Linked DNA regions of Stegostoma tigrinum. The protein of the gene in region 3 purifies or fractionates together with the protein of the main gene of each other region. This does not show direct contact. Links are inferred from orthologs where the notes say so. Each region holds a gene or a part of one and is shown on either strand. Other genes may lie near its edges.

Region 1 (10,388 bases), on a different chromosome or scaffold from region 3:
CACACCACCCCTCTCCCCTACACACACACACCCTCTCCCCTAGACACTCACCCCTCCCCCCTAGACACTCACCCCTCCCCCCCTAGACACTCACCCCTCCCCCCTAGATACTCACCCTCTCCCATACACACACAGCCTCCCCCCAACACACACACCCTCCCCCCAACACAAAGCCTCCCCCCCAGACACTCACCCCTCCCCCCTTGACACCCACCCACACCCTCCCCGCCACTCACAACCCCTCCCCTCCACATACAACTCCTCCCCTCCACATACACCCTCCTCCCCCAACACATGCACACCCCCTACCCCCCACACACACACAACCTCCTCCACCAACACACACACACCCCCTCCCCCCAAAACAAACAGAACCACTCCACCTCCCCACACGCACAACCATTCCACCCCCCTCCCACCCAACACACGCAGACCCCTGCCCCACACAAACACAAACCCTCCCCCCCACACGCACAACCACTCCACCCCACCTCCCCTCTCTCCCCCTCCCTCCCCTCCCCCGCTCTCGCCCACCTCCCTCCCCTCCCCCGCTCTCACCCCCTCCCCCTCCCCCCCCTCTCTCCCCTCCCTCCCTCTCCCCCTCCTCCCCAAAGCTCTCTCTCCCCCTCCCCACTCTCTCTCCCCCTCCCCCCTCTCTCTCCCCCTCCCCCCTCCCTGCCCCGCCGCCCCTGCCCCTCCCCCCTCTCTCTCCCCCGCCTTCTCTCTCCCCCCTCCCCCATCTCTCTCCCCCGCCATCTCTCTCTCCCTCCTCCCCCATCTCTCTCCCCCCTCCCATCTCTCTCCCCCACCTCCCCCATCTCTCTCCCCCGCCTCCCCCCCTCTTTCCCCCATCTCTCTCCCCTGCCTCCCCACCTCTCTGCCCCCCTCCTCTCTCTCCCCCCCTCCTCTCTCTCCCCCTCCCCCCTCCCACACCCTCTCCCTCCTCCCCTCTCCCCCACCTCCCTCTCCCCCCGACATCTCTCCCTCCGTCTCTCTCCCCGCCTCCCACCTCTCTCCCCCGCTCCCACCTCTCTCTCCCCACTCTCTCCCCCCCCCTCCCTCCCTCTCCCCCATCCCCCTCCCCCCTCCCTCTCCCCCCATCCCCCTCCCCCCTCCCTCTCCCCCATCCCCCTCCCCCCTCCCTCTCCCCCCATCCCCCTCCCCCCTCCCTCTCCCCCCCCCCCTCCCTCTCCCCCCATCCCCCTCCCCCCTCCCTCTCCCCCCATCCCGCTCCCCCCTCCCCCCTCCCTCACCCCCCTCCCCCCTCCCTCTCCCCCCCCTCTCCTCCCCCTCTCCTCTCCCCCACCTCCTCTCCTCTCCCCCACCTCCTCTCCTCTCCCCCACCTCCCTCTCCCCCTCCCCCCTCCCTCTCCCCCTCCCCCCTCCCTCTCCCCCTCCCCACCTCCTCTCCCCCTCCCCACCTCCTCTCCCCCTCCCCACCTCCTCTCCCCCTCCCCCTCCTCTCCCCCCTCCTCTCCCCCCTCCTCTCCCCCTCCCCCCCTCCTCTCCTCTCTCCCCTCCTCCTCTCACCCCCCTCCTCTCTCCCCCACCTCCTCTCTCCCCACTTCCCCCCTCCTCTCTCCCCCGCTCCCCGCTCCTCTCTCCCTCCTCCTCCTCTCCCCCCTCCCTCTCCCCCACTCCTCCTCCTCTCCCCGACTCCTCTCTCCTCTCCCCCCCTCCTCTCACCCCCCTCCTCTCTCCCCCTTCCCCCCTCCTCTCCCCGCTCCTCTCTCCCCCCTCCTCCTCCTCCCCTCCTCCTCTCCCCCACTCCTCCTCTCCCCCCTCCTCGCTCTCTCTCCCTCCCCCGTCCTCCCTCTCTCCCCCCCGTCCTCCCTCTCTCCCCCCCGTCCTCCCTCTTTCCCCCGTCCTCCCTCTCACCTCCCTCCCTCCCTCTCTCTCCCTCTCACCTCCCTCCCTCCCTCTCTCTCCCTCCTCCCTCTCTCTCCCTCCTCCCTCTCTCCACCTCCTCCCTCTCTCACCCTCCTCCCTCTCCCCTCCCTCCCTCCTCCCCTCTCCCCTCCCTCCCTCCTCCCCTCCCTCCCTCCTCCCCTCTCCCCTCCCTCCCTCCTCCCCTCTCCCCTCCCTCCCTCCTCCCCACTCCCTCCCTCCCTCCTCCCTCCCGCCTCCCCTCTCCCCCACCTCCCTCTCTCTCCCCACTCCCCCTCTCCCTTCTCTCTCCCCCCTCCCCCTCTCCCTTCTCTCTCCCTCCCCTCTACCCCGCTCTGCCCCATCCTCTTCTCCTCCTCCCCCCCCTCCTCCTCCCCCCCCTCCTCCTCCCCCCCCCCTCCCCCGCCTCCTCCTCCCCCCCCCTCCCCCCCTCCTCCTCCCCCCCCCTCCCCCCCCTCCTCCTCCCCCCCCCTCCCCCCCCTCCTCCTCCCCCCCCTCCCCCCCCTCCTCCTCCCCCCCCCTCCCCCCCCTCCTCCTCCCTCCCCCCCCTCCTCCTCCCCCCCCCTCCCCCCCCTCCTCCTCCCCCCCCTCCTCCTCCCCCCCCTCCCCCCCCCTCCTCCTCCCCCCCTCCCCCCCTCCTCCTCCCCCTCCCCCCCCTCCTCCTCCCCCCCTCCCCCCCCCCTCCTCCTCCCCCCCTCCTCCTCCCCCCCTCCTCCTCCCCCCCTCCTCCTCCCCCCCCTCCTCCTCCCCCCCCCTCCCCCGCCTCCTCCTCCCCCCCCCTCCCCCCCCTCCTCCTCCCCCCCCCTCCCCCCCCTCCTCCTCCCCCCCCCCTCCTCCCCCCCCTCCTCCTCCCCCCTCCCCCCCTCTCCCCCCCTCTCCCCCCTCCCCCCCTCTCTCTCCCTCCCCCCCCCTCTCTCTCCCTCCCCCCCCCCTCTCTCTCCCTCCCTCTCTCTCCCTCCTCCCTCTCTCCACCTCCTCCCTCTCTCACCCTCCTCCCCTCTCCCCTCCCTCCCTCCTCCCCTCTCCCCTCCCTCCCTCCTCCCCTCTCCCCTCCCTCCCTCCTCCCCTCTCCCCTCCCTCCCTCCTCCCCACTCCCTCCCTCCTCCCTCCCGCCTCCCCTCTCCCCCACCTCCCTCTCTCTCCCCACTCCCCCTCTCCCTTCTCTCTCCCCCCTCCCCCTCTCCCTTCTCTCTCCCTCCCCTCTACCCCGCTCTGCCCCATCCTCTTCTCCCCCCCCCCCTCCTCCCCCCCCTCCTCCTCCCCCCTCCCCCCCCTCCTCCTCCCCCCCTCCCCCTCTCCCCCCCCCCTCCCCCCCCCCTCCTCCCCCCCTCCCCCCCCCCTCCTCCCCCCCTCCCCCTCCCCCCCCTCCCCCTCCCCCCCCTCCCCCCCCTCCCCCTCCCCCCTCCTCCTCCCCCCTCCCCCTCCCCCCTCCTCCTCCCCCCTCCCCCCCGCCCCTCCTCCTCCCCCCTCCCCCCCGCCCCTCCTCCTCCTCCCCCCTCCCCCCCGCCCCTCCTCCTCCTCCCCCCTCCCCCCCGCCCCTCCTCCTCCTCCCCCCTCCCCCCCGCCCCTCCTCCTCCTCCCCCCTCCCCCCCGCCCCTCCTCCTCCCCCCTCCCCCCCGCCCCTCCTCCTCCCCCCTCCCCCCCGCCCCTCCTCCTCCTCCCCCCCCTCCTCCTCCTCCCCCCCGCCCCTCCTCCTCCTCCCGCCCCCGCCCCTCCTCCTCCTCCCCCCCGCCCCTCCTCCTCCCCCCCGCCCCCCCTCCTCCCCCCTCCCCCCCGCCCCTCCTCCTCCTCCCCCCCGCCCCTCCTCCTCCCCCCTCCCCCCGCCCCTCCTCCTCCCCCCTCCCCCCCTCCTCCTCCCCCCTCCCCCCCGCCTCCTCCCCCCTCCCCCCCGCCCCTCCTCCTCCCCCCCCGCCCCTCCTCCTCCCCCCTCCCCCCCGCCCCTCCTCCTCCCCCCCGCCCCTCCTCCTCCCCCCCCCGCCCCTCCTCCTCCCCCCCCCCCGCCCCTCCTCCTCTCCCCCCCCCCTCCTCCTCTCCCCCCCCCCGCCCCTCCTCCTCTCCCCCCCCCCCGCCCCTCCTCCTCTCCCCCCCCCCTGCCCCTCCTCCTCTCCCCCCCCCCGCCCCTCCTCCTCCCCCCCCCTCCCCTCCTCCTCCCCCCCCCCTCCCCCCCGCCCCTCCTCCTCCCCCCCCCCTCCCCCCCGCCCCTCCTCCTCCCCCCTCCTCCCCCCTCCGCCCCTCCTCCTCCCCCCTCCGCCCCTCCTCCTCCCCCCTCCTCCCCCCTCCGCCCCTCCTCCTCCCCCCTCCTCCCCCCTCCGCCCCTCCTCCTCCTCCCCCCCCTCCCCCCGCCCCTCCTCCTCCTCCCCCCTCCCCCCCGCCCCTCCTCCTCCCCCCCCCTCCCCTCCTCCTCCCCCCCCCTCCCCTCCTCCTCCCCCCCCTCCCCTCCTCCTCCCCCCTCCCCCTCCTCCTCCCCCGCCCCTCCTCCCCCCCCCTCCTCCTCCCCCCCCTCCCCCCGCCCCTCCTCCTCCTCCCCCCTCCCCCCCGCCCCTCCTCCTCCCCCCCCCTCCCCTCCTCCTCCCCCCCCTCCCCTCCTCCTCCCCCCCCCTCCCCTCCTCCTCCCCCCCCTCCCCTCCTCCTCCCCCCTCCCCCTCCTCCTCCCCCGCCCCTCCTCCCCCCCCCTCCCCCTCCCCCCTCCTCCCCCCCGCCCCTCCCCCTCCCCCCTCCTCCCCCCCGCCCCTCCCCCCTCCTCCCCCCCGCCCCTCCCCCTCCCCCCTCCTCCCCCCCGCCCCTCCCCCTCCCCCCCCCGCCCCTCCCCCTCCCCCCCCGCCCCTCCCCCCCCGCCCCTCCCCCTCCCCCCCCGCCCCTCCCCCTCCCCCCCCCGCCCCTCCCCCTCCCCCCCCCGCCCCTCCCCCTCCCCCCCCCGCCCCTCCCCCTCCTCCCCCCCGCCCCTCCCCCTCCCCCCCCCGCCCCTCCCCCTCCCGCCCCTCCCCCTCCCCCCCCCGCCCCTCCCCCTCCCCCCTCCTCCCCCCCGCCCCTCCCCCCTCCTCCCCCCCGCCCCTCCCCCCTCCTCCCCCCCGCCCCTCCCCCCTCCTCCCCCCCGCCCCTCCTCCTCCCCCCTCCTCCCCCCCGCCCCTCCTCCTCCCCCCCGCCCCTCCTCCTCCCCCCTCCCCCGCCCCTCCTCCTCCCCCCCGCCCCTCCTCCTCCCCCCGCCCCTCCTCCTCCCCCCGCCCCTCCTCCTCCCCCCTCCCCCCCTCCTCCCCCCTCCCCCGCCCCTCCTCCTCCCCCCCGCCCCTCCCTCCTCCCCCCTCCTCCCCCGCTCCTCCTCCTCCCTCCTCCCCCGCTCCTCCTCCTCCCTCCTCCCCCGCTCCTCCTCCTCCCTCCTCCCCCCTCCCCCCCCGCTCCTCCTCCCCCCTCCCCCCCCGCTCCTCCTCCCCCCTCCCCCCCCGCTCCTCCTCCCCCCTCCCCCCCCCGCTCCTCCTCCCCCCTCCCCCCCCCGCTCCTCCTCCCCCCTCCCCCCCCCGCTCCTCCTCCCCCCTCCCCCCCCGCTCCTCCTCCCCCCTCCCCCCCCCCCGCTCCTCCTCCCCCCTCCCCCCCCCGCTCCTCCTCCCCCCTCCCCCCCCCCGCTCCTCCTCCCCCCTCCCCCCCCCCGCTCCTCCTCCCCCCTCCCCCCCCCCGCTCCTCCTCCCCCCTCCCCCCCCCCGCTCCTCCTCCCCCCCCGCTCCTCCTCCCCCCTCCCCCCCCCCGCTCCTCCTCCCCCCCCCCGCTCCTCCTCCCCCCCCGCTCCTCCTCCCCCCTCCCCCCCCGCTCCTCCTCCCCCCTCCCCCCCCCCGCTCCTCCTCCCCCCTCCCCCCCCCCGCTCCTCCTCCCCCCTCCCCCCCCCCCGCTCCTCCTCCCCCCTCCCCCCCCCCGCTCCTCCTCCCCCCTCCCCCCCCCCGCTCCTCCTCCCCCCTCCCCCCCCCCCGCTCCTCCTCCCCCCTCCCCCCCCCCGCTCCTCCTCCCCCCTCCCCCCCCCCGCTCCTCCTCCCCCCTCCCCCCCCCCGCTCCTCCTCCCCCCTCCCCCCCCGCTCCTCCTCCCCCCGCTCCTCCTCCCCCCCGCTCCTCCTCTCCCCCGCTCCTCCTCCTTCCTCTCCCCCGCTCCTCCTCCTTCCTCTCCCCCTTCCCCCTCTCCTCGCTCTCTTCCACATCCCTCCATGTTTGACGAATTTCCGGCTCCGGCCGTGCGCTCTGAGCCATGATGGCGGATACCAGGAGTCAGTTGTATCTGGGCGCGGGGCTGACGGTCTTCTCCCACCCGCTCATGTACGTCAAGCTGCTGATTCAGGTCAGAGAGTCCAGGGAATGTGTCTGTATGTGAGGGACAGCGGGAGAGAAGGAGTGTGATGGTAGGGGGTCAGTGATATGGGGGCGAGTGGTGATGGGGTTGAGGAAGCGCGCGCGCGCGCGTGTGTGTATGTGTATATATGTCGGGGGACCAGGGCATGCCTGTGTCTGTGAATGGAAGTAGGGGGAAGTGTGGTTTGGGTTCGGGTTGGGGGAGGGTGTGCTGTGTGCGCGCGCGGGAGAGTGAGAGGTGGGGACTGGGGTTTGTCAGTGTATGTGTGTGAGAGAGACAAGTCGGGGTTCGGGCAATGTATCTCTGTGATAGAGGGGGCAGAGGACTGGGGAATGTGTCGGCTGTGTGGAAATGGATTGTATGAGAGGTCGTGATGTGGAGGCCATGGTGGGTGTGGATGAGTGTTCTGGCTATGGGGCAGTGGGGAGCACAGTCTCTGAGTTTTCTCAGGCATGTGGGCTATGTGTGTGTTTGACGTTGTTGGTTTGCAAACGATCAATCGTACAATGTCATCAGCCATGATTGATTGGCGGTGCAGACTCGAGGGGTTGAATGGCCGAATTTCTTCTCCTATGTCTTATGGTCTTATATAGTTTGAACTGGAAAGTACAGGGGAAGTTTAAGGAAACAATGTTCTATATACTATTCACAATATACAACAAGTGACTTTGGAGAGCTTTGTGCATCAAAGTTTTTCGAGAGACACGAGAGTGGAGGTAAATTCTTCTAATTGTTGAGCAAACAGACCTGGAAAACCCTTATGGATCTAGGTTGCAAATAGCCTCAGGACTGACCAATTGGGTGAATTTTCAATACGCACCTAGAAGCTATGAGCAGTTCCTGGTCAGATGCAACAGTCACAGCTTGGATCTGACCGTATCACTTTAGATATCTTTCTCAGTACAATAGTTTGTGAGCCCCTGACAAAATTTCAAATATCAGACCTCTTGACTTTCACCTAAATCTGTTTTCGGTATTTCCTATTACTGTGGGATTGACAACAACGTGAGCTCGTTGACACGAAACTGAAGGAACTCTTGAGAAAGATGGCACATTTTACTCCAAAGTGTTTTCCCTGTTCTTCCAATCACATTTTATGTATATTTAGTGATTAAGGGGATATAGTGAGATTGAAAACATTGAACTGTTGTTGTCTTGTTTGACAAATATGATTATTGGAGACAATTCTGTTTTTGAGTTTATTGAAAAGCCTAGTGAATGTCTGTTTTATTCTATTTGACATTTGTAGCACTTGGAAGGCTTTCAATAAGTATCAAAATAAGAGGTTAGCATGTAAAATTAAAGTTCATAGGATTGGGGGTAGTGACCTGGAGAGAGAACTGGTCGGCAGACAGGAAGCAAAATAGGAATAAACGGAACTGTTTCTGAATGGCAGCTAGTGACTATCAGGGTACAGCAAGGATCAACTATTCACAATATGTATTAATGATAAATAGGTGAGGGAACTAATGTAATAAATATTTGCATATAACCCAAAGCTGGATGGGAGGGTGAACTCTGACGAGGATGGGAAAGTACTTCAGTTATGGACAAGTTGACTGAGTGGGCATTTGCATTGCAGATGAGGTTAAATGTGAGGATATCTGCTTTGATAGCTGGAACAGGAAAGCAGATTATTATCTGGCAATATATTGGGAAAGATGAAGGTGCAATAAGTCCTGGGTGTCCTTATATACCAGTTGCTGAAAGAAAACATGCCAATGCAGCAGGTGCTAAAGAAAGCAAATGGAACGTTGGCTTTCATAGCGAGATGACTTGAGTACGTGGTTAAGGATGTGTTGTATGATTGTACAGGTACTTGATGTGACGACATCTGGAGTATTTTGGTCTCCTTTTTGGAGGGAGCAGGTGTAACAGGTTTACCAGACTGATTCCTGAGATGGTAGGACTAATGTATCAAGAGAGATAGGATCACTGAGGAGTAGATTCACTGGAGTTTGGAAGGAGGAAGAGAGTTTTCATAGAAACCTATACAATTCAGAGTTTGAGAGGAGCAATCAGACTCAGTGACCTGCTGTGTACAAGTCTATGTGACATCAAGTAGTGCTGATAACCCGAGCCATCCGGACAACACTGTTACACTTGAAACACATTCAAGTAACTTTTATTCAGAAGAAGCTGAAAATGGTACAGTGACACAATAATGTTTGAGTGAGACCCGTACTTAGTATAAAACAGTACCTTCAAATAACTGGCAGTTTCTCTTTCAAAGTCATGAATGCCAGTTTGGGTAGTGTAGCTGTGTACTCAGCCCCCTGCCAAAGTTGCCTCCTGCCTGTGGCAGATGCAGCAATCCTGTCCAGGTTCACACTAGGTAGTTGGATTTCCAATTCCACAATGTGGCCAGAAAATGCCAGAGTATATGGGAGAATGCCACTAATTCTTTGTGATAGAGATGGCCTGGGTTTAACTGCCTTGTTTGATCCAGTCCATGATGGTGGAGGAGTTGGGGAAAATGTCAGGGCAGATGGATTTGTTCTCCTTGCAGAATCTTGTCTTGTAGAAGTAGTGCATGTCACTGGGTTTTGCCTGGGACAAGCACTCAGCAAAGGCCCTGTCACATTCACATGACATCCTGGTGCACACAGTCTGGCCCTTGCACTCCGTCTGTGCCCTCTTGCATGTGAAGTTGTACATACTCCACTTAACTTGGCTGTGACAGCCCAGTATCACTCTGGTGTGGTAATAGCAGCAGTCATGGAGAAAACAGCACCGGTCCACTGGGTCAACAGGCCTACTTGAGCCCCCTGTCCCACAATAGCAGCCATAGTTGTGGAGCTTGAGGAGGGAGATTCCCAGTTTGGAGCGGTAACACCACAGAGTCATGGCCATGTCGACGAGTCCTCGCCGCTGTCGGATTGCATCAGGATGCAGTTTAGCTTGGGGGCACAGGCATAACCAGATGATTGCAAGTAGAACCATCACTAAGAGTCTGCTCGTCCTCATCCTCCTTATGTTCCCCAGACTGTTGCTACTCTGTGTTGTCCTGGTTTATATCAAGCCCTGTATTTCTTCCCTCCCTTTCCTGGCATCATGTGATCCCTGGCCCAGCCCCCATCTCACATTGGTGTTCAAGTTTCATTTTTGATGGCTGTGCTTCCCAAGGAATTTCGTTCTAAATATTCATTTTAGCAGGACTGTTCCAAGTACAGACAAAAAAACAGTTTCTTTTTTACTTTGGATGAAAGGATTTTAAAAATGGATGATTGTAGGTATGGCTGTATCTAAAATTAGTTGCAAGCAGTGTTTAAACAAATGTAGTGAATGTTTCCTGTTCTATCAAAATGCACTCAGTCTCTGTGTCTTCCATTGCTACCATCCCTTGCTGTTCATTATTATCTGATTAACAGATTAATTTTTTTAAAATCAGGATTAGAGTTTTATGTCTTAATAACTGTCAGTGTCTGTCATAGATTCATAGACACAAACAGCGCAGAAAAGGCCCTTTGGCCCATTGAGCCTGCACCAACATAATTACCACTGAAAGTGCACTAATCCCAATTTCCTGCACTTGTCCCATATCCAAATGTTATGATATCCAAATGATATTTGAAGTGCTCATCCAAATATTTTTTAAAGGTTTCCAGCCTCCACTACTTTCCTAGGCAGTGCATTCCAGATTCCCACCACCCACTTAATGAAAATGTTTTCTCACCAAATTCCTTCTGAATTTCTTGCCCCTTACCTGAAAACTATGCCACCTCATGATTGACCCCTCAACCTAGGGGAACAGCTGCTGTCTGTAACTGCCCATAACTTGCAATCATGCCCCTCCATATCTCCGTATTCTTTGCTCTGAAGACAACAATCCCAGCCTATCTGGTCTCTCCTTCTAGCTCGGTTTCTCCATCCCAAGCGACATTTTGGTGAACCTCCCCTATACCCCCTCTAGTGCTATCACATATTTCCAGTAATGAGTTAATCAGAGCTACACACAGTACTCCACTTGTAGCCTGACCAGTGTAGTAATGTACACTCCAACATTACCTCCTCCTCTCATACTCTATGCCATGACTGATGAAACCAAGAGTCCCAAACGCCTGCTGTAGGAAGGGTTACCAGACCCGAAACATTAACTGTTTTTTCCTTCTCAGATGCTGCCAGACCTGCTGAGCTTTTCCAGCAACTTTGATTTTGCGCCTGCCTAACTATC
Region 2 (9,813 bases), on a different chromosome or scaffold from region 3:
AAATTGGCAGATGACAGAAAAAGGTGGAAAGGCAGGTTGAGAGGGGACACAAACAGTTTCCAGAGGTATTGATAGGGAATGGATAAAGGAAGTGGGTAATGGCGTTTAATGTGGGAAAATTGAAGCTGTTCATTTTGGATGGCAGAACAAAAGAATGAGTATTATTGAAATGAGAAAAACACAGGAAGCTGCAACACAAGGGGACTCAGGGGAACTTGTGAATGAAACACAAAGCTAGCACACAGGTACAGCAGGTAATCAGGAAGGGTAATGGAATGTTAGCCCCTTATTTGAAAGAGGTTGGAGTATAAGAGCACAGACATCTTACTGCAACTGTACAAGGTGCTGGGGAGAGCACATCCAGAGCACAGTGAGTTTTGGGTTCCTTTCATTCAGGAAAGGTAACATTTCATTAGATGCTGTTCACAGAAGGTTTGCTGGATGATCCCTGAGATGGAGGGATTGCCTTAAGAGCAAAGGTTAAACAGGTTAGGACTCTGCTCACTGGGGTTTAGAAGAATGGGAGGTCATCTCAATGAAACAGATCAGATTCTAAAGGGGCTTGACAGTAAATGCGGAGAGGATGTTTCCCTCATGGGAGGGTCTAGGACCAGAAGGCACAGTCTTAGGATAAAGGGCTGCTAATTGAAGACTGAGATGAGGAGGACTTCCCTTTGAGGATTGATGGCCATTGAAATCCCTTGTCACAGCTGAGGGGGCAGATTCCTTGTGTATATTTAAGGCTGAGATCAACAAATTCTTCAGTCAGGGAAATCCAGGATTGTGGAGATAGGGTAGGATAGTATATTAAAGAATGTTGGATCAGCCATGATCACATTGATAGGCAGAGCACAGAGCAGTCTCAATGCTGAGCACCCTACTCCTGTCGCTACGTAAGAAATATGGGTGTTCTTTCTGGCTGGACATCTATGTCCAGTGGAATTTCACAGGGGTCAGTTATTTGCAGCCTGTATTTAAACAGGAATGTAGGACGTTTGATCAGTGTGTTGTGTTTGCAAATGAAAATTCTGTTCCAAAGGGTCACTGGGCCCACAATGTTAACTCCGCTTTCTCTCCACAGATGCAGCCAGACCTGGGATTTTCCACCATTTTCTGTTTTCATTTCTGATTTACAGCAAGTGTAGTTCCTTCGGTTTGAAGTGATATTTGATCTGTATAAAATGTTGGTCAGGCCACAGCTCAAGTATGGTGTGCAGTTCTGGAATCCACATTACTGGAGGGATGCAATAGCACTGAAGATGGTACGAGGAAGTTTACCAGGACATTATCTTGGGGGGCTGCACAGTTCCATAGAAATATAGAACATAGGAACAGTATAGGCCATTTGGCCCTTTGAGTCTGCTCCACCATTCAGGTAGAAAAGACAGATTGGGCAGACTGGTGTTAGGGGAGATGTATAAAACTGAGGGACACAGGCAAGAACAAACACATCCCCCTTGGTGGAAGGATAAACCAAAACCTTCCCTGGTCATTTAAGTGTTAAGGGGCAGGAGGTTTAAAGCAGATACATGAGTGGCAGGAATCCTGAACTCACTGGCTGTAAAATGTGTGGACAGGCAGAAACCCTCTATATCTAAGAGGGATTTAGATGTGCATTTGCAATGCGAAGCCATACAAGGCTATGGGAGAGGTCCTGGAAAATGGGATTAGAATAGCAGGGAGGTTGTTTTTGACTGGCATCGGCACATTAGCCAGCTCTACTCTTTTGTAGAGAAAGTAAGGTCACTCTACACTAACCCCAAACACTCCCAGGACAGGGACAGCACAGGGTTAAATACAGTAAACTCCCACCACACTGCCCTATCACACACAGCACCTCCAGCTCAGTCAGGCAGTGTGTAAATTAAGTGGAAAGACATTGGTATCTTCCCAGTTTGGGAGGGGTCCAGGAATCACCCCCACCCCCACCCAAAGTTGTCCAGTGCCCCACCTAGGGGTTGGGTGGATTGATTTGTCAAACTCTTTCCTAATTCCAGCCTTAGCCTGTCTGATCCAGCCATGATTCAACAGGCACGATGGCTTAATTCTGCTCCTGTATCTTATGACCCCAATGGTTCCAGTCACTTTCTTGTCCCAGGTCAAGACTCAGAACCAGTCCTGAAATTCTGATTTCAGACCTGAACAGCTTTCTTGAAGATATGGTCCTCAATCCACCCTGAACAGCCTCAGGCTTAAACTTTAACTTCCCCCAAACCCAAGCAAATCATTTCTGAAGGGTCTCTACCAAAAACATCACCTTTCCTGCTCCTCTGATGCTGCCCGGGCCAGTTGTGTTCCTCCAGCTCCACACTGTAATCCCTGACTCCAACATCAGCAGTTCTTACTATCTCCTGCAAATCATTTTTCCCTACCAATCAGAATGAAACATTTTTCAAGTGACCCCTGGAATTCCAATTAATGCACCGCCTCTGCACTCTCCCCATATCCCCATCAGTCAATGTGTCCTTTGTGACTATTTCTCCAAGGTTCCTGTTGAACCTGCTTCCAACCCCTTTCAGGCAGCACATTCCAGATCACAGCCACTTGCATGGTTAAAAATTCTCCCCGTCTGCCCCCACCCAGGGCTCTTTTTGCTGTTTTTCTTTAAAAAGTCTCCCTCTGGAGACTGACCATTCCAACAGGAGGCAGCTTGTTTCAATTGATCCAGAGAGAAAACCCTCTCCATGTTGAGCACTTCCATTCAATCTGCTGTTAGCCTTCTGATGGACACAGTCCCACAGACTCTGCACAATTACTGCAGATCCTCAGCCCCAGTCCCTTTATCGTAAACCCCCTCCAAGGCCACGATAATCTTTCCAAGGCCGGGGGGGGGGGGGGGGTGAGTGAGTAGAAACAGTCAGAACCAAACAATTCTCAATCCATAGCCTAACCCAGTGATTTATAAAATTTCACCAACTGTTTAGTGCTTCTTTGACTACAGCCAAGGGTACAACGTGGTTTTTGAACTGCCTTCAAAATGTGCCACTTTATCAAAGCGACGTGGACACAGCACTGCCAGATTGGCCTGCAGCTTTACCCCATTCACAGCCATTTGCCAGGTCTGCAATCAGCCATGTTTCTCTGGAATCTGCTCAGAGCATTTCCATGTCAGAGGGGGCATGGATCATGCAGCATATTCCAGTTGACAGCCCCCAGTCTGTGTTCAGACAACGAGGAGGTCTAAGCCACCAATCCCTGACATTTCACACCAAACTTCTGTTTTCACATTTGTATAAAATTGAGAGAAACATGCATCTCCCACACCCTTCTCCCCATTTCCCCCCTCCCCCCCAACAGCAGGTGAGCAAGGGGCTAGGGAGGAGAAAAATATGGGGGGGGGGTGGGTGGAGGAAAGGAGAACAAAGTGAATGGAAACTGGTGTTTGCTGAGAGGGGGTGGGCACCTGGGCTAGTGCTGACCACAGCTGGTGGATTTTCAAAGAGCCAGATTGAAGGGTACTGCAGTGTGGGAGTGTAAAAGTCACCCAGACAGCACTTTAAGCCCAGAATAACCTGGAACCTGTGGAAGTGACTTACAGAATAAGCCAGGGGAAGTAGCAGAAGCAGGTACAGTTACCACAGTTAAAAGATATTTGAACAGGTGCATGGATAGGAAAGGTTTAGATGGATATGTGCCAAACACAGGCAAATGGGACTGATTTAATTTGGGAACCCTGGTCAGCCTGGACCAAAGCGTATGCTTCCATCAATGACTGTATGACTGCAACATTCAGCCCCTGAGTGCATTCGGCTTGTGATAAAAGGCAGCTATTTTGAGGGCACGTGACTTTTAGCAATTTTGTTTATTTTTAAAAATTAAATAAAATTAAGTTCACCAAAGGGTAAGACTGCTTTCAATAGAAGAGCCACTATTTCTCAGAACCTTACAGAAGGGAACTCACTCTTTACCAGCTCTGTTACACTCACTCTCTCACTGTCGAGGGCTACACCATCTTAAAACAGGCTTCGTTTCACTGAATACAAACCCCTGGTTAACAGACAGTACAGCTCCCTCTCTCTCTCTCCCCCCCCCTCCCTACCTGCTGATTTTAGTCATAAAACCCGGATATATTTAAGAGAGGCTGTGCTTTTGTTTAGACAGTACTCGATTACATTGCAGCTCAAAGCGAAAGTGACACCTTGCGTGCGTGTGGAAGCATTACCCACCTGAATGAAGCTGTGTTGAGGCTGATAACATGGTGCAAAGATGGGACTGAGATGATTTGAACACAAAGTCAATAGGTCGTTAGATTTCAGAAGCAATCCACAAAACACTTGAAGGTGAGCCTAAAAAATCTCATGGAAGCTGGAGGCTGGGCGGAGAGAGGAGGCTCAGCACAGCAGGAGGGGCACTGGGGGGCTGCGGAGCCGAAACGGAGCAAGGGCTGAAGCCGTCTATAACCCCCTTCTCCATCAGACGCTGTATGCAGGGGAACCGGCTCCTTGCCAGTCCTTACATAGAGACAGCGTCAGGTCAGGGCCAACCTACTGCCGCCCCATTGGCTGCTCTCAGCCTGGGTCCAGCCCCCCCGGTTGGGCGTCAGCGCATGGACCAGGCGCAGCCAGGCGCCACCTCAACGCAGTGGTCAAACCACAGTGAGAGCCGGAGACCCTGGACGCACTAAGGGTCTCAGTAAGCACCCCACTACAAGCCCCTGGTTTAACCAAACCTCTCCAGCCCGATTCTAAATCTCCATATTTGGAAATGTTGGTGATGTCTGATTCTGATCCAGAAACACGCACCGCCACAGAACGTGACAAATTTCATTGAATGGGAGGAGGCCATTCGGCTCACAGGGACTGTACAAGAATCTTAGAATCCCCACAGTGTGGAAAGAGACCGTTCGGCCCGTCGAGTCCACAACGACCCTCCGAAGAGTATCCCACCCAGACCCTGGACCCTGGACCCAAAGCTTTTGTGCTCCTGAGATGCTGCTTGGCCTGCTGTGTTCATCCAGCCCCACACTTTGTTATCCCAGACCCTGTAACCCTGCATTTCCCGCGGTCAATCCATTCTAACATGCAAATCTTTATACTAGCCCTGGGCAAGAGCTTTCCCATTATTCTGTCTCCATCTCACCTTCCCTCCCTCCACCCCAACCTGTTCCCGGTAAAACTGTTCCCATCAGATGTTCATCCTCTCCCCCTTTGACAATGAACATCATACCTGCTCGCAGTGTCCCTTCAGGCAGTACATTCCGCTGTTTCACAAAACAGGAACAGGCCATTCAGCCCAACACGTTGCTCCTGGTGTTTGTACACTACATAGACTCCTCTCCCTCTGTCCCCTAATATTCCTTTCTCTATCTTTTTTTCAGATCCGCTTTAAGCAGCTGTTCCTAGAACCAGATGTGGTCTCTAGGAATTAAAGATTAATCATCGGAATGTTGCTGGGAATAAAACAGCTGGGGAGCCATATCAGGATAATAGATAATATTAAAAACAGAGAAGGTAATCTGAATTGATAGTTTGTCATTTCTGTATTAAGAAGGGAGAGATATGGACTCACAGATGTATACAGCACAAGAGACCATTCAGTCCGTCCGGTCTGACTATACTATTTTCATCCTTCAGCTCTTGTTTGATAGCTCTCGAGTCTATGAAAATGCAAGTCAATATCTAAATACTGCTAAATTTTCTGAGAGTTTATAACTCATTCACCTTTACAGACAGTGAGGTTTAGACTCCATCACCCTTTGGGTGAAAAAAAATTCATCAACTTCCCTCTTATCCTTTGACCTTTTGTCCTTAAATCTATACCCTCTATTTCCTGACAAAGTGCCTTCCTATCCACCCTGTCCATGTCCCTCATAATCTCGTACACCTCTATCAAATCCCCTCTCAACCCTCCCTGTTCTGAGGAAAACAGTCCTAGTCTATTCAGCCTTTCCTCATCCCTCAGTCCCTGAATCCCAGGCCACATCCTGGTGAATCTCTTCTGCAGTTGCTGCAGTGCAATCCCATCCTTCAGATAGTGTGGTGACCAGAGCTGCACATTGCACTCCAGCTGGAGCCTCACCAGTGTTTTATACAGTCCCACTGTTTACACAGGGCCTCACTAAAGCACGTTTGGACACATTAGATGTATCACCCTCATTAACCCTCCTGTTTACCTCCTCAACAAATACGTCAAACACGGCCTTCTCATAATGACCCCACGCTGACCCTCCCTGATTAATCCAGCTCTCTCCAAATGTTCAATTCTGTCTGATAACTTCCCCATCACTTCCCCAGAATGAATGGTCTGGGATTTCCTGGACTACCCCTTCCTCCCCTGTTTAATGATGGGACAATGCTGTACCCTCCCTGCCTTTCCCACTGAAACTATCCCAATTGCTATCGGAGAGTTGGATCCCTTTCTATTACTGCCTTGTTACTCTGACATGTCTCTGAAATGTGGTTATAAATGTATCCAGTATCTCTCCCTGACTGGGGTGGGGGTGGGGGGGGGGCGGCTGCTGTAGTACACACCCAACAGCATGTTTGCCCCTTTGTGGCTTCACTTCTACCCATAAGGCCCTGCCCAATGATCTGTGCAAAATGCCCTCCCTCCTCACACCTAGCATTGATCCTCGATCAATATTACAGCACCTCTCCATCTTCTAATCTCCTCTGTACCACACCTGAATACCCAGGAGTACCAGGAAGGTACAGCTGCCAGTCCTGCCTATCTTTCTGCCAAGTATTATAACCCACATACCTGTCTGTGCCCTCAGCTCATTGTCTTATTCCTCAGGCTCCTTGTATTAAAATATATTCCATGTATCCTTGTTAAATTCACTTCTTTATCTACATCTACTACCTTCCAGACTCACTTATTTGTGTTTTAACTTTGAACTCCATCTCAGCCTCGCTGCCTCTGAGTTATTCCTCAGGATTCCATGCCCTTGCCAATCCAGCTTAAACAGCCCCAGCAACATTTTCCAACCATTCCACAAGGGTGTTAGTCATGTTCTTGTTCACACGTAACTTGTACAATTCCCTCCTCCCCCAGAAACAGTCGGAATGCCCCAGGAATCTAAAGTGCTCTGTCCTGCACCAGCCATCCATTCACCTCCTCTGTTGTCCCATTCCTACATTCGCTGCTATATGGTACTGAGAGTAATCCAGACTGTTACCTCACAAATCCTGCATTTCGATTTCCAACTAACTCCCAAAAGGCTGATTCCAGCACCTCATTTCTCTGTCACTGGAACTATCGTCTCTGGCAGGTCATCCTCGCCTGTCAGACAGCTCTGCAGACAAACTGTGTGGCCTCCTTAACCCTGGTGCCCAGGAGGCTTACTGTCCTGGAGTCATGATTACTGCTGCTAAACTACCCCCCTCACACCCGCACCCTCACCCAGGCAGCTGGAGCACCTGCAGTGCTGAGGACTCTGCTCCAAGCATGACTCCAGAGGGACCTGGACCTTCTCCCTCTGCTCTCTGAGGTTGAAATACAATCCCTCAGGCGATTGTCTCATTTTGTGCCTCGTGCACTCTTCTGCCTGGCATTGCCCCTCTACCCGCATGTCCTTAAGCTCGAGGGTGACTCCATCCTGAAACCCTCGGCCTGGTCAATGCCCTGAAGTTCCCACAATAACTGCTCCCACTCTATAACCCGGGGTTGGAGGGCCGGGGCCGGGGGGGAGTTATTCCAGCCACAGGCATCTCCTGCACAGACTCATCCAGACCAAGGGGTCCTTGGTGCACACTGTGCAAATCACAGGCCTGAGCTCCCCAGGCAGGCCCTAACTGAATAGAAATGGATCACTGCGTCTTCTTTACCCGTATTACCACAAAAATATTATTCTTGCTCCTGTCAGAGTCACAGAGTCCCCGACAGATCGGCTGCCAGTCTCGCTGCCTCTGTATGAGGGTCCTCATCACACCCCCTCCCGTCAGGACGCTGTCACAGGGTCCCCCCCCCCTCCCCTCAGGACACTGTCACAGGGTCCCCCCCCCCTCAGGACACAGGGTCCCCACCCCCTCCCCTCAGGACACTGTCACAGGGTCCCCACCCCCTCCCGTCAGGACACTGTCATGGGGTCCCCACCCCCCGCCTCAGGACACAGGGTCCCTACCTCCTCCCCTCAGGACACAGGGTCCCCACCACCCCCCCCCCCCCTCAGGACACAGGTTCCCCACCCCCTCCCGTCAAGACACTGTCACAGGTTCCCCACCCCCCCCCGCCCCTCAGGACACAGGGTCCCCACCGCCTCCCCTCAGGACACTGTCACAGGGTCCCCACCCCCTCCCCTCAGCGACACTGACTGTCACAGGGTCCCCATCCCCTCCCCTCACTCACACTGTCACAGGGTCCCCAACCCCTCCCCTCAGCGACACTGACTGTCACAGGGTCCCCACCCCTCCCCTCAGCGACACTGTCACAGGGTCCCCACCCCCTCCCCTCAGCGACATTGACTGTCACAGGGTCCCCACCCCCTCCCCTCAGCGACACTGACTGTCACAGGGCCCCCATTCCCCCCCTCAGCGACACTGACTGTCACAGGGTCCCCACCCCCTCCCCTCAGCGACACTGACTGTCACAGGGCCCCCATTCCCCCCCTCAGCGACACTGACTGTCACACGGTCCCCACCCCCTCCCCTCAGCGACACTGACTGTCACACGGTCCCCATCCCCTCCCCTCAATGACACTGACTGTCGCAGGGTCCCCACCCCCTCCCCTCAGCGACACTGTCACAGGGTCCCCACCCCCTCCCCCCAGCGACACTGACTGTCTGAGTGCCTTCACCTGCTCCTGTCTCATTGTTTTATGTGTGTTGGTCTCCACAGCTTGCTCCTGGGAGTCTGGAGGCCTGTTTGCTCCTGTGTAACGAGGTTGGACGTTCTCTGCAGTGAAGAGATGAGGCTTGCCATTCCCAGCAAACACAGTAATGTGGTTGACTCTGAACTGCCCTCTGGGCAATTAGGGATGGGTAATAAATGCTGCCTGGCCAGTGACGCCCTCATCCTCTGAATGAATTTAAAAAAAGGAAAATAAAATCTGTGTATTAAGACAAAGCAAAATGCAAAACATCTGTTGTTTTGTGATAGGGATCCACGGATACAGAACAATTTGCGTAATAGTGGAACAGGTACATAGCAGACACCATTCCCCTATCCCTGGACTCATCCCTGGAACATCTGGATAATAAAGATACCTATGTAGGGCTTCAAATCTTGCCGACAGCTCTGCCTTAATCCCGACCAAACTAATCTCCAAACTCTAAGACCTTCTGCAACTGGATCCTCAGCTTCCTGATCCCACAGACCACAATCGGTAAGGATAAGTAACAGCGCTTCCTCTTGATAATCCACAACACCAGGTACCCTGCCAGCTCCCGACTGTGCCTCCGATACACCCATGACTGTGAGACCAAATTTCATCAGAACTCTATCTACAAGTTCACTGATGACATCACCATTGTAGGCAGGGGTTCAAACAGTGGTGAGACAGAACACAGGAAGCAGATAGAGGGCTTGGTGCTATCATTACTTCTCTCTCAATATCAGCAAAACTAAAGAGCTGATCATTAACTTCAGGACAAAAAGAGGAGAACATGCCCCCATCTACATCAATGGAGCTGAGGTGTTAAGGATTTGAGAGCTTCATGTTCCTAGAAGTGACAATAACCGACAACCTATCCTGGATCCCCACGTAGACGGTCAGGAATAACTCCTCCTCTTCCTCATGCAACGAAGGAAATCTGACATGTCCCTATGGACCCTCACCAACCTTTACAGATGCACTACAGACAGCACTGTCTGGGTCCATACGGTCTGGTCTGCTCTGCCCAGCACTGTAAGAAACTACAGAAAGTTGTGAACACA
Region 3 (10,697 bases):
ATGGTTTAAAATAGGCTCAATTTTAAACTGTACAGACTCTTATGATTGTATTATGTTTTAGGATAATTACAATTACCCTATTGCAACCTAAAGCTGACAATGAAAAGCTGATCAACAAAATCTTGCACATATACATGGGTCCAGTTTCTCTGCCAAGAGCCCTCAAAGTCTCCACTTAAATCAGAGCCTTCAGAGAAATCAAGAAATCAGAAGAAATCAAGTAGCAATTCAGGAAATGTTAGACGTAAAATACATAGTAATTTTGAAATGATACAACAGTTTTCATAGAAGTTGATTTTATGTCTAATAATTGAAGAATCAAAAACAAGATGATTTATAATAGACTGCAAGTAACGCTGCTCATGCAGAGAGATGCAACGCTGTGAAATTCACTTCCACGGTTCCTGATTGAGGCAAAACTATGGCTGCATTCAAAATTAGCCAAATAAATGAAGGAAAGGGAGACTAAGAGATATGGAAACAAATCAGGTAAATGAAATTGAAACTATTGATTCGTGTGGAAAGTAAACAAACATCAAAAGTGGTTGAAACAAGTACACATTGAATATAGTAGGCTTCCATGTTGCAACTTCTGTGTGGGTTCAGAACATTAAATCCTGAGATTTCCAAGTAACAGTGAGATATTAATTTACAGTTACTGCTCTAGCATGGTGTGACTTCAAACTATTACAATTTGAAACTGTATTTGCTGTCATGCTTCCAACAGCATTAGATGTTAAAATGTAGGAGCAAAAGTCAGCCATTCCATTCAGAGTCTGTTCCACCATTCACAGGCTGATCTGATAATCCTCAACTTCACTTTCCTGCCTTAGCCCAACAATTGGTTATCTTACCAATTAAAAATTTATCTCTCATAGTTTTGAATATACTTAATAACCTAGCTTCACAGCTCTCGACAGTCAACAAGTCCATAGATTTACTGCAGATTTAGAAAAAAAAATTCCTCCTCATCTCGGTCTTTAATAGATGATCCCTTACTGAGACTACATCGTTTGGTCCTAGGTTCTTTCACAAGGGTTAAAAACTCTTCCCAAATCAAGCACCCTAAGAATCTTACACATTCTAAGTTACTTAAGGTCCACATTCTCAAGTTTCACCACAAATGGGTCAAGCACTAAGCCTGTGTCTAACACAGTCATGAAATCCTTTGCATCTTCTACCAGTGATGACATCAAGCAGTACCTGGAATGAGTGTTCTGACAAATAAAATAACTAGGGTGGTAGAGAGGTCTTTAAACGAAATAGGAGAGAAGGAAGACTTAGGAGAGGGGAAACAAAGTGAGGATATAGTGACATTACCGGTCAGCTCTTCGAATAACTATTCCCAGAGTGAGAAAGGAAGGCATAAAGTGCACAACATAGAAAAATGATAGTTCGGGGTTGGGGGCGGTGGATCTGCTGCAAAGACAAAACGAATACCTCTTTACTAACAAAATAAACTAATGACACAAATATAAGTACATGAGTATGGTCTTATAGTCAATACAGATATATGGTTTCAAGGAGATCTAAACGGAGCTAAATATTACGACAGAGATAGTGGGAACTGTAGATGCTGAAGAATCCAAGATAATAAAATGTGAGGCTGGATGAACACAGCAGGCCAAGTAGCATCTCAGGAGCACAAAAGCTGATGTTTCAGGCCTAGACCCAGATGAAGGATCTAGGCCTGAAACGTCAGCTTTTGTGCTCCTGAGATGCTGCTTGGCCTGCTGTGTTCATCCAGCCTCACATTTTATTATCTTAAATATTAGGACATGTGGTATTTTGAAAGAACAGACCGAAAGGAAAGGGTGGTGGGTAGTATTGTTAACAAGGGATGAACTAAGTACTATAGCCAGAAAATATCAAAACATGCAGAATCCATATGGGTCGAAGTAAGAAGTAACAAGGGGATGGTGACAATGATAGGTATAGCCTATGGGTGTCTTAACAGAAACAATTTGGTCAGAATTAGAATAAATCAGGAGATAATGAAGGCATGTAAAAAGGTAGAGCATTATTCATGTGTGACTTTCATCTTCATGTAGATTGGGGTAACTTGATCTGCAGATGTAGACACAAGGAAGAATTAATAGACAATTTGGGTCAGTTTCCAAGAACAATATGCTGTGGATTTAACCAGTTATCAGGCTTACTTTGGATCTGTTGATGTGTAATGAAGCGAGTTTAATAAATAACAATAGAGTAAAAGACCACCTAGAGAACACTGACCATAACAAAAACTGAAAAAAAACAGCAAATCAAACAAAAATAGAAACTGCTGGAAAAGTCTCAGCAAATCTAGCAGCATCTGTGGAGAAATCAGAACTAACGTTTCAAGTCAAGAGACCCTTTCTCAGAACTGACCATAACAAAATAGAATTTAGCATTCAGTTTGGGGGAAAGAAATTTGCACAAGAAACAACTGTGCTAACTTCAATAAAGGTAATTACAAAGCTAGGAGGGTTGGGTTAGCTGGAGACGACTCAAAAGGATTTTAGCAACAAAGATGGTTGACGAACAATGGCAGAAGTTTAAGAAAATATTTTAGTGGCTCACAGAAAAGACAAAGAAAGAAAGGTAATGAGAAGGTGAGAAACCAACCATGGTTAACCAAGGAAGTTAAGGCTAGCATCAAATTGAAAGAAAAAGCTTGCAATGTGGCAAATGTTAGCAGCAAGCCAGATGATTGGGAAAGTTCTAAAAACCAACCAAAGACAACCAGAAGATAATAAAGAGGTTAAATATAAACTTTGAAGGTGAACTTCCAATCGTTTTGGGCCCTTTATCCAAGGAAAAATGTACTGGTAGTCCACAGAAGGTTCACTAAGCTGAACCCATGCTTGGAAGAATTGTCTTCTGAGAAGAGCTTGAATACATTGGGCCTGTACTCATTTGAGTTTGGAAGAAACCTTATTGAAACATACTCAAGTCTTGGGGACTTGACAGGTTAAGTGCAGAACATGTTTCCCCTTGTGGAAAAATCTGGGACCAGAGGGCATAATCTCTGAGTATGGGATCACCCTTGTAAGATTGGGCTGAGGGGGATTTCTTTCCTATCAGAGAATAGTAATTTGTATATTTTCCTTTTACCATAGAGGACTGTTGAAGCTATGTCATTAAGTATATTCAAGGCTGAGATAGACAATTTTTTAATCAGTAAGGGAATCAAGGATTTTGGGGAAATAAAGCAGGAAAGTTGAGTTGAGGATTTTAACATCAGTTAAAACTTAATGAATGGCAGAGCAGCCTGCTTCTGATCCTTGCACTATGGTATATACGTTTGTGTACGTAAAAATGCAGTTACATTAATGGTAATATGTAAAAAGTTTTCATATTCAAGTTGCTCTGTCCTACAAGCTGCACTCTAATGTATAAAATAGACATATTCAGCAGTAAGGGAACTGAATAATTTTGAGATAACACGGTATACAGCTGGATGAACACAGCAGGCCAAGCAGCATCAGAAGAGCAGGAAAGCTGACGTTTCAGGCCTAGACCCTTCAGGCCCGAAACATCAGCCTTCCTGCTCCTCTGATGCTGCTTGGCCTGCTGTGTTCATCCAGCTCTACACCTTGTTATCTCAGATTCTCCAGTATTTGCAGTTCCTACTATCTCTGAATAACTTTGAATTGCTTTCAACAGAATGCAATATTTCTCTGAAACACAGTAGAAAGCCCCATCAAGATGCACATGAGACTTGGACAAGTGTAAACTATAACATGGGTCAAGATATTTAAAATGTGTAAATTTTGATTCTTACATCAAACACAACAAAAAAAATGTATTTTTAGTGCCTTTTATGATCCTAGAAAGTTCCCAAAGTAGCTTGCAGCCAATTGAGCAGCTTTGAAGTGAAGCTGTTAAAACGTGAAATGTAAACCTAGGCCCAAAGACTTTGTTTGTATTAAAGGAGCTATTTCCAACCATTCCAATACAGGTCAAATTCACTACTGTCAAATAAACCTCTTACTTCAGAGGATGATCATTCAAATATTTTAGCACAAAATTTCTACTTTTCCAATTTATTTGCATTGGCTCGTGCAAATTATTTGGTGTTTGAAATTTTTAAATTTAAAAATATCTGATTTATCAGAACTATGTACCGTGAATTTTTGAGGGTGTCTCAGTGGCATTAAATCAAAATACAAATCCAACATGCTCCTTTCAGAAGAGTACAAATAATAGGAATTCAAATCATGAACGGCAAAGATGGTTTAGCAAATTCTATAATAAATCCACCAATGTCCCACAGCATCTTTGGCCCCTGAAGTCCGAATTGTCAGAGATAGCCTCCAGTACACCATCATGATTGGATAAGGGGGAACGTGATTGAAATGTATAAAATTATCAGGGGCATAGATAAGCATAGGCAGGAAGAAACTTTTTCTGCTTGATGAACTAGGGCACAGATTTAAGGTACAAGGGGATGAGGAAAATCTTTATTGCCAAGAGCATGGCAGAAATCTGAAACTCAATGCTTGAAAGGTGGTAGAGACAGAAATCCACGTAACATTTAGGTATGCTTTTGCAATGGATCAAGTGCTGGGATAAGAATAGTTAGATGGTTGGGTCTAGATGTTACGGGCAGAAGGGCCTTTTTATGTGCTACAGATCTCTATGGCTCTAGAATAAGTGACTCAACATCCTTTTCTGCTGGGCCACCTGAATATAGTGGATGTCAGTCAAATACACTTTTGACCAGTACTCTATTGTAATTTTGCTAAAAGACAGAACAATAGAATTGACACAAGTAACGACGTTTGCTATTGACATCATGCCATCTTCAAAAGTAGAAAGTGAAACAACCGAAGGCAAGAGGGCCTCCGAATTACAAATGCAGCACCATTTATCTCCAATAGTAAAATATAAAGTAAAAACAAAACATGCAGGAAACACGCAGGTCAGGAATTATCTGCGAGAAGCATAAGGTAGAATTAATATTTCAAGTCCACAGCCGTTCGTTTATGCACGTTTTATTTCCGATATTATTTTATGTTATAGGTGGAAGAGTCTCACACACAATCAGACCGAGGATAGTAAATTCTTGAAGCTCACAAATCAATCAAGTATTCACATTCACACGCAGAAGTTAGGAACAGAACAGCTCTGATGAAGAGGGATAACAAGGTGTAGAGCTGGATGAATACAGCAGGCCAAGCAGGAAAGCTGACGTTTCGTGTCTGGAGAACGAAGAAGGGTCCAGACCCGAAACGTCAACTTTCCTGCTCCTCTTATGCTGCTTGGCCTGTTGTGTTCATCCAGCTCCACACATTGTTATCTCAGATTCTCCAGCATCGGCAGTTCCTACCAGCTCTGATGAGAAGTCGTCTAGACTAGAAATGTTAGCTTGCTCTCTCTCCATGGATGCTGTCTGATCCTCTGTGACCTCCAGCATTTGTTTTCAGTTCAGATTCCAGCATCTGCAGTAATTTGTTCCTACAACCCAAGAACCTACCGACATCAGGACGGCAATTATTTGCGTTTGTATGACAAAAAATCATCTCAATTTACTTCACAGGAGTTTTATCAAACAAGATTTGACAGCAGAGATTTGACTTGAAGAAGTCGGTTTATAGAGCGGCTAGAGACGACGAGGAAGAAATGTTGAGGAACGGAAATCCAGAGTTTAGAGATTCGCATACTCACATCAAAGCCAGATGAACTCTCCCACTCACTTCCCATACCTCTGTTCAGGCAATCTCCCTCAATCGTCTCACTCACACACACACACACACACACACACACACACACACACACACACACACACACACACTCAGCATCCACACCGAATAGCTTTGTTCACTTCAGGCCTCACGCTCATTCTCAGGCGCTTTGTTCACCCTCTTTCCAATTGCGCCTGTGGAGTTCGTCTATGAAGCGAGTGGGCAAGACCTGGCCTGTCGCCTGCCGTAGACTCTCCCCGTAAACCAAGTGAAGTTGGATCCTCGTCTCCCCTACCTGTGGAGCCGCGGAGCTGGTGTCTATCCAAAGGAATGGTACCTACTCACTCTCTCGGGGCATTCTCTGTAAGGCTTTCACTCTAAATCCGGAAGCCCCTGACCGCCGCGTCCCCGCCCGTTTACACGCCACTCGCGTTTTTCCCCCCCTCCGTGACAACCGGACTCGTTCCCACGTTGGTCCTGCCCCTGGTCTCACCGGATTGGTGCACTGACGTCAGGTCAAGCGGCTCGCTGCTGTGAGACGGATTGTCTATTGATCGTGAATGCTGTCAATCACCTAGTGTCACGGTGCCTTCCGGCCATATTCGTTTCCTATCTGCCGTTAGATTAAGGGCAAACGAGGAAGTGTGTATAAAAACTGAGATACAAGCATGAAGCGGAGTCTTTATTTTTGTAAAAATGTTTCTTATTCGCACCTTTACTGCGTTATTTGATATGGTTTTCCTGATTTTGGCTGTAGTCCGAACGTGTGCAGTTCAAAGTGTTTCCATATCTGATAACATAAATCAGTCACCGAGAGCATCATTATCTTGTAGCTAGTATGAACCAGGAGGACTGTGGTTGGCTCGGATATTTCTTCCTATTCGACGGTGCGGGCATGTGATACCTTAGCCTCAGTCAGAGCTTTCGTTTCCGGGATCGTGGTCGCTTCAAAGAAATGCTTCCGGGGCTTGTTCAGGTTGATCGTTAGGCTGAAGGCGGTCGCGTGCTGTGACCGTTAACGGCGCGAGCTTTCGCGGGGATGGAGGAGGAGCAGCCCGACCCTGGCCCTGGACATGACCCCCATCCCACAGCCCCACACCGGCTCGGCTCAATTCAGGTATCCGCTAAAGGACGGGTGTGACATTGGGAATCAGTGGAGGCCGCTTTACGGACCGATTTCTGAGAGGCACGTCAGTGCTGCCGGGAGTGATCGGATAACCGGCTGCTTTCTCCTGGACCGCGGTCTTGCTCCTCTTCCACCACCACCCAGGGCAAGAGGAGAGCCGAGCTTCACCTTGCCTCATCAGCTGCCGCTGATATCTCAGTCCTCAGCACGCTAGCACGGTCACCCTTTGTCACCCTGGATGAGGTGGTGGACGATTTGTTAAACCTCATACCACTGTTCCAGGCTTTATTCCCTCCAGAACAGCCCTTTACTAGTAATTTTCACTGCTGCTTAGATGGAAACTGGATGGAGATGGAGGTATGAACATATGGAGGGATTCCCCAGCCATCGGTTGTTGCGCCAGGGAGGCACCATTGTATCGCCAAAATGGACAAGTACACATATAGCCACTTGCGCTCCTTGTGCCAAATTTTTGTTGTTTCGCTTAGCCTGCTCGTGTCCCTTGATGGTGTTCCTACCTTACTTTCCTTTCGATTTAATGTAATCAGCAAATTTCCAAACCATACGTTCTGACTCTTTATTAAAGTCATTGATAGAGAAGGTAAACGTTCCCGGCCCAGCATTATTTAATAGAGCAAAGGGCTGTTCGGTGCTGAGATTTTTTAAGTCTGCACCAACAGTGAGTTAGCAGTCGGAGATCTTTGTCGTTGGTATCAACGTGCACATAGGCAGAAACAGGAATGGCCTAAGGCTATCTCTTAATACTCTATTAATAGGCATTTTTCTTCAACAGAGCAACCCCATCACCTTTTTTTTGCCCACTCCTGTTCCAATATTCCATTCAGCCCCTCAAGCCTCTTCCACCATTCGGTGAGATTATGGCTGACATCTGGTCTATCTCCAAATACCTGCCTTTGACTCATACTTTTTGGTTAACACAGATGTATCTATCCCAGATTTAAGATTAAGGACGGCATACCATTGCATACTTTTCCCACCTTTCTGAAATGTCAAATATGCTTCAATATTCGGGTACCTGCGTTGCACCCATGCCTCTTGAATGGCTATCGGGTCATATAAACTAATTTCTGTTTGTGCTAGCAAGTTATCCATTTTGTTACAAATGCCACAGGAATTCAAGTAGCATTCTTCCAGTGTCTCTCTTCACCCTTTTAGTAATCTGTGACCTTAACTGCCATTGCAACCTGGGTCCTGCTTTCTAATTTAGTATGTAGCTGCCTATACCCCCTTTCCTCCTTCTGCTATGTTGTAAGTACTCATGCAGTCTACAGTCATTGAAATCTTCCCCCTTCTCTCGTCCTTACAAACTCTGTTACTGGGCAGAAAACAACCATCTGGACTTGTTCTCTTAACTACTGAGAACTGTGTCTATTCCCCTGATTACACTGCCCCCTACTACCACCGCATTCCTGTTTACTCCACCATTTGGACAGCTTCCTGTGCCATGATCAACTCGTTCATCCACCGTGCGGCCCAGTACTACCCATACAGGCTGAAAGAATCTCAAACCTTTTGGAGAATTGGAATGGAGAGGCTCTGGTCTTTTTGATCCCCTTGCCTTCCTTGTGTCACTCACAGCAAAACTCCCCCAGTCTCTGACAATTGCTCACCTCTAATGTTCTGCTTAGTCCAAAGACTTGTCACAGCCTGATGGATCAAAGTGTCCACATCAATTTTTCTGTTCCACCATTGTGTATCTCAATTTGTGTACCTCACTTGATTCCTTTTGAAGTCTGCAGACTTTTCCCAATTTCTTCCCCTGTAATTCAGTCTTCCAACACTTAATCAACTGTGTGGTATTTCTCTGTACGGTTTCAAGGCCTGTTGTATTTCCTTCTGTTTGACTGGCAAGGACTAAACACAATTTTACAAACAGCCTTCAATGTCATTGCTGTCTCTGAATCTAATTTTATATCTCTGTCAAATATTTTGTTGCAATTTAAAGTAATTGGTTCTATATGAAATTCGGAAATAAGATGTGTTATCAGACAAGTCTCAATTTGTTTTATCAGCAGCTGCACAAAATATGCACACCTTGCAGTTCCTAACATGAGGAAGAAGATGATCACATGAAGTTTTATATAAATCTATTACAAAATATCGCCTGGTATTCAGTCAAATACTAGGTTAAGTAATGTAGTTGTGTCGTTGGGCTCAGCATTCAGAATCCTACATTAGTAATCCTGTCATGACCAAGTGAGGCCTTTCCTCTTATCACCCCTGTCTCAGTCGATCATAACAAAATATTTTCATTCCATTTGGCACACAGCTATCACGTGATTAAACACAGTTACTAGGCCAGAATGAAGAAGACCCTTTTAAGAATTTCCTGAAAGAGGAATTTTACTCCTACTGACCTTGAGGCAAAAAGAGTGACATCAAACACATGCAAATATGGATAATCTGTCTGTCTGATCCAGACAAGGGATAAAGATTGTGTAGGAGAGATCTTGAGGTGTTATAACCGGAGACCATGTTTATTGTTTAATTTTTGGAAATAACCTCAGCAATGGCAAAGAATTTAGGTATTCTTGAATTCTTAGTGAACAGTCTTTGGACTTTGGGGAAAATTGCAACACGTACAATTGATTGGTTGCCTGCTGAACAGACCTAGGACTGAATTCCTTGCAGGGCATTTTGCTGGTGCTGTTGGCAGGACCTTAAACAAATTTTAAACTTGGCAGCAGTGTGGGAACCAAGACAGAATGGTAGACCAGGATTCATAAAGTACTTGAGATGCACTTTCATGAGCATAGAGAATAGCAATTTAAGAGGTGATGTAAGGGCTAAATAAATGAAATCTAAATCGGTGTTAAAAGCAAAATACACAGGTGCTGTAAACCTGAAACAAGTACAATGCTAGAAAATCTCTGGTCTGGCAACATTTGAGAAGAGAAATAAAGTTAGCATTATGAGTATGGTATGTATCTTCTTTAGAAGTTTTAAGTCACTGTTGGGTAGGTTGTTGACACGGTCCTGGGATCAGATGAGGTGCATCCAAGGACTTTGAGTGGAAATTGCAGAGGCACTGGCTATAATCGTTCAGTCTTCCCTAAAGTTGGGAGAGCTACCACAAGACTGAAAAATTGCAAATATTACATCCTTGATCAAGAAAGGTTGTAAGAATAAGCGCAGTAATTACAGACCAGTCTGTTTAACTTCAGCATTGGGAAACTTTGAGACAATTATTTGGAAGAGAATAAGTAGCCAAAAGGGAAAGGGTGGGTTGATTGGACAGAGTCAGCATGGACTTCTAAAGGAGTAATCATGTTTAATTAACTTGCTGGAGTTTTTTTGAAGAGGTGACGGACTCCAAGAGGGTAACGCTGTTGTGGTGGATACGGACTTTCAGAAGGTGTTTGATATAGTACAGTAAAATGCCCTTGTAGGAAAGGTTTCTTATATCTCATGGAATAGAAGAGTAAATTGTAGTATGATTACAGAATTTTCTGTGTAATACTAAGCAGTAGTCATCTGTGGGAGATAGCAAGATCTGCACATGCTGGAGTCAGAGACAACAGTGTGGAGCTGGAGGAACACAACAGGCCAGGCAGTATCAGAGGAGCAGGAGAGTCTTCATCAGTGAATGTTTTCCAGGTTGAGGAAAGTTTGTAGTGGAGTTTCCCAGGAGTCAGTGTTGAGATGTCATTTTTCCTGTATACAGTAAAAATGATTTTGATCTTTGTGCAGGGGGTAATTTCAAAGTATGCATGAACTCAGAAGTTTTGTTAAACTGGGGAAGGTAGAGTGAGTTCCAAAATGACATAGCCGAATTGGTTGGCTGGATGGAAAGGTAGCAGATGAGTTTCAGCGCAGAGAAGTGAGATAAGAACACCAAAAGACAATATAAAATGGCTGAGGAGTATAATTCTAAAGGGGTT

The links.
Region 1: the proteins of ociad1 (region 3) and mtch2 purify together in Homo sapiens (affinity purification with mass spectrometry; 3 studies listed by BioGRID and IntAct, with this or other methods). This does not show direct contact. The link is inferred for Stegostoma tigrinum from reciprocal best matches to the Homo sapiens genes OCIAD1 and MTCH2.
Region 2: the proteins of ociad1 (region 3) and sodium- and chloride-dependent creatine transporter 1-like purify together in Homo sapiens (co-immunoprecipitation; 3 studies listed by BioGRID and IntAct, with this or other methods). This does not show direct contact. The link is inferred for Stegostoma tigrinum from reciprocal best matches to the Homo sapiens genes OCIAD1 and SLC6A8.

The regions. Positions count from the first base shown.
Region 1 is NC_081370.1:11,614,291-11,624,678, reverse strand, and holds the start of mtch2 (mitochondrial carrier homolog 2), read left to right. Parts: upstream 1-6,006; 5' UTR 6,007-6,112; coding exon 6,113-6,202; intron 6,203-10,388. UniProt on the Homo sapiens protein: Protein insertase that mediates insertion of transmembrane proteins into the mitochondrial outer membrane. Catalyzes insertion of proteins with alpha-helical transmembrane regions, such as signal-anchored, tail-anchored and multi-pass membrane proteins.
Region 2 is NC_081364.1:1,691,333-1,701,145, forward strand, and holds the start of sodium- and chloride-dependent creatine transporter 1-like, read right to left. Parts: upstream 4,438-9,813; 5' UTR 4,198-4,437; coding exon 4,167-4,197; exon of another isoform or gene 4,087-4,166; intron 1-4,086. UniProt on the Homo sapiens protein: Creatine:sodium symporter which mediates the uptake of creatine. Plays an important role in supplying creatine to the brain via the blood-brain barrier.
Region 3 is NC_081354.1:106,038,233-106,048,929, forward strand, and holds the start of ociad1 (OCIA domain-containing protein 1), read left to right. Parts: upstream 1-6,299; 5' UTR 6,300-6,708; coding exon 6,709-6,786; intron 6,787-6,795; exon of another isoform or gene 6,796-7,140; coding exon of another isoform or gene 7,141-7,152; intron 7,153-10,697. UniProt on the Homo sapiens protein: Maintains stem cell potency. Increases STAT3 phosphorylation and controls ERK phosphorylation. May act as a scaffold, increasing STAT3 recruitment onto endosomes. Involved in integrin-mediated cancer cell adhesion and colony formation in ovarian cancer.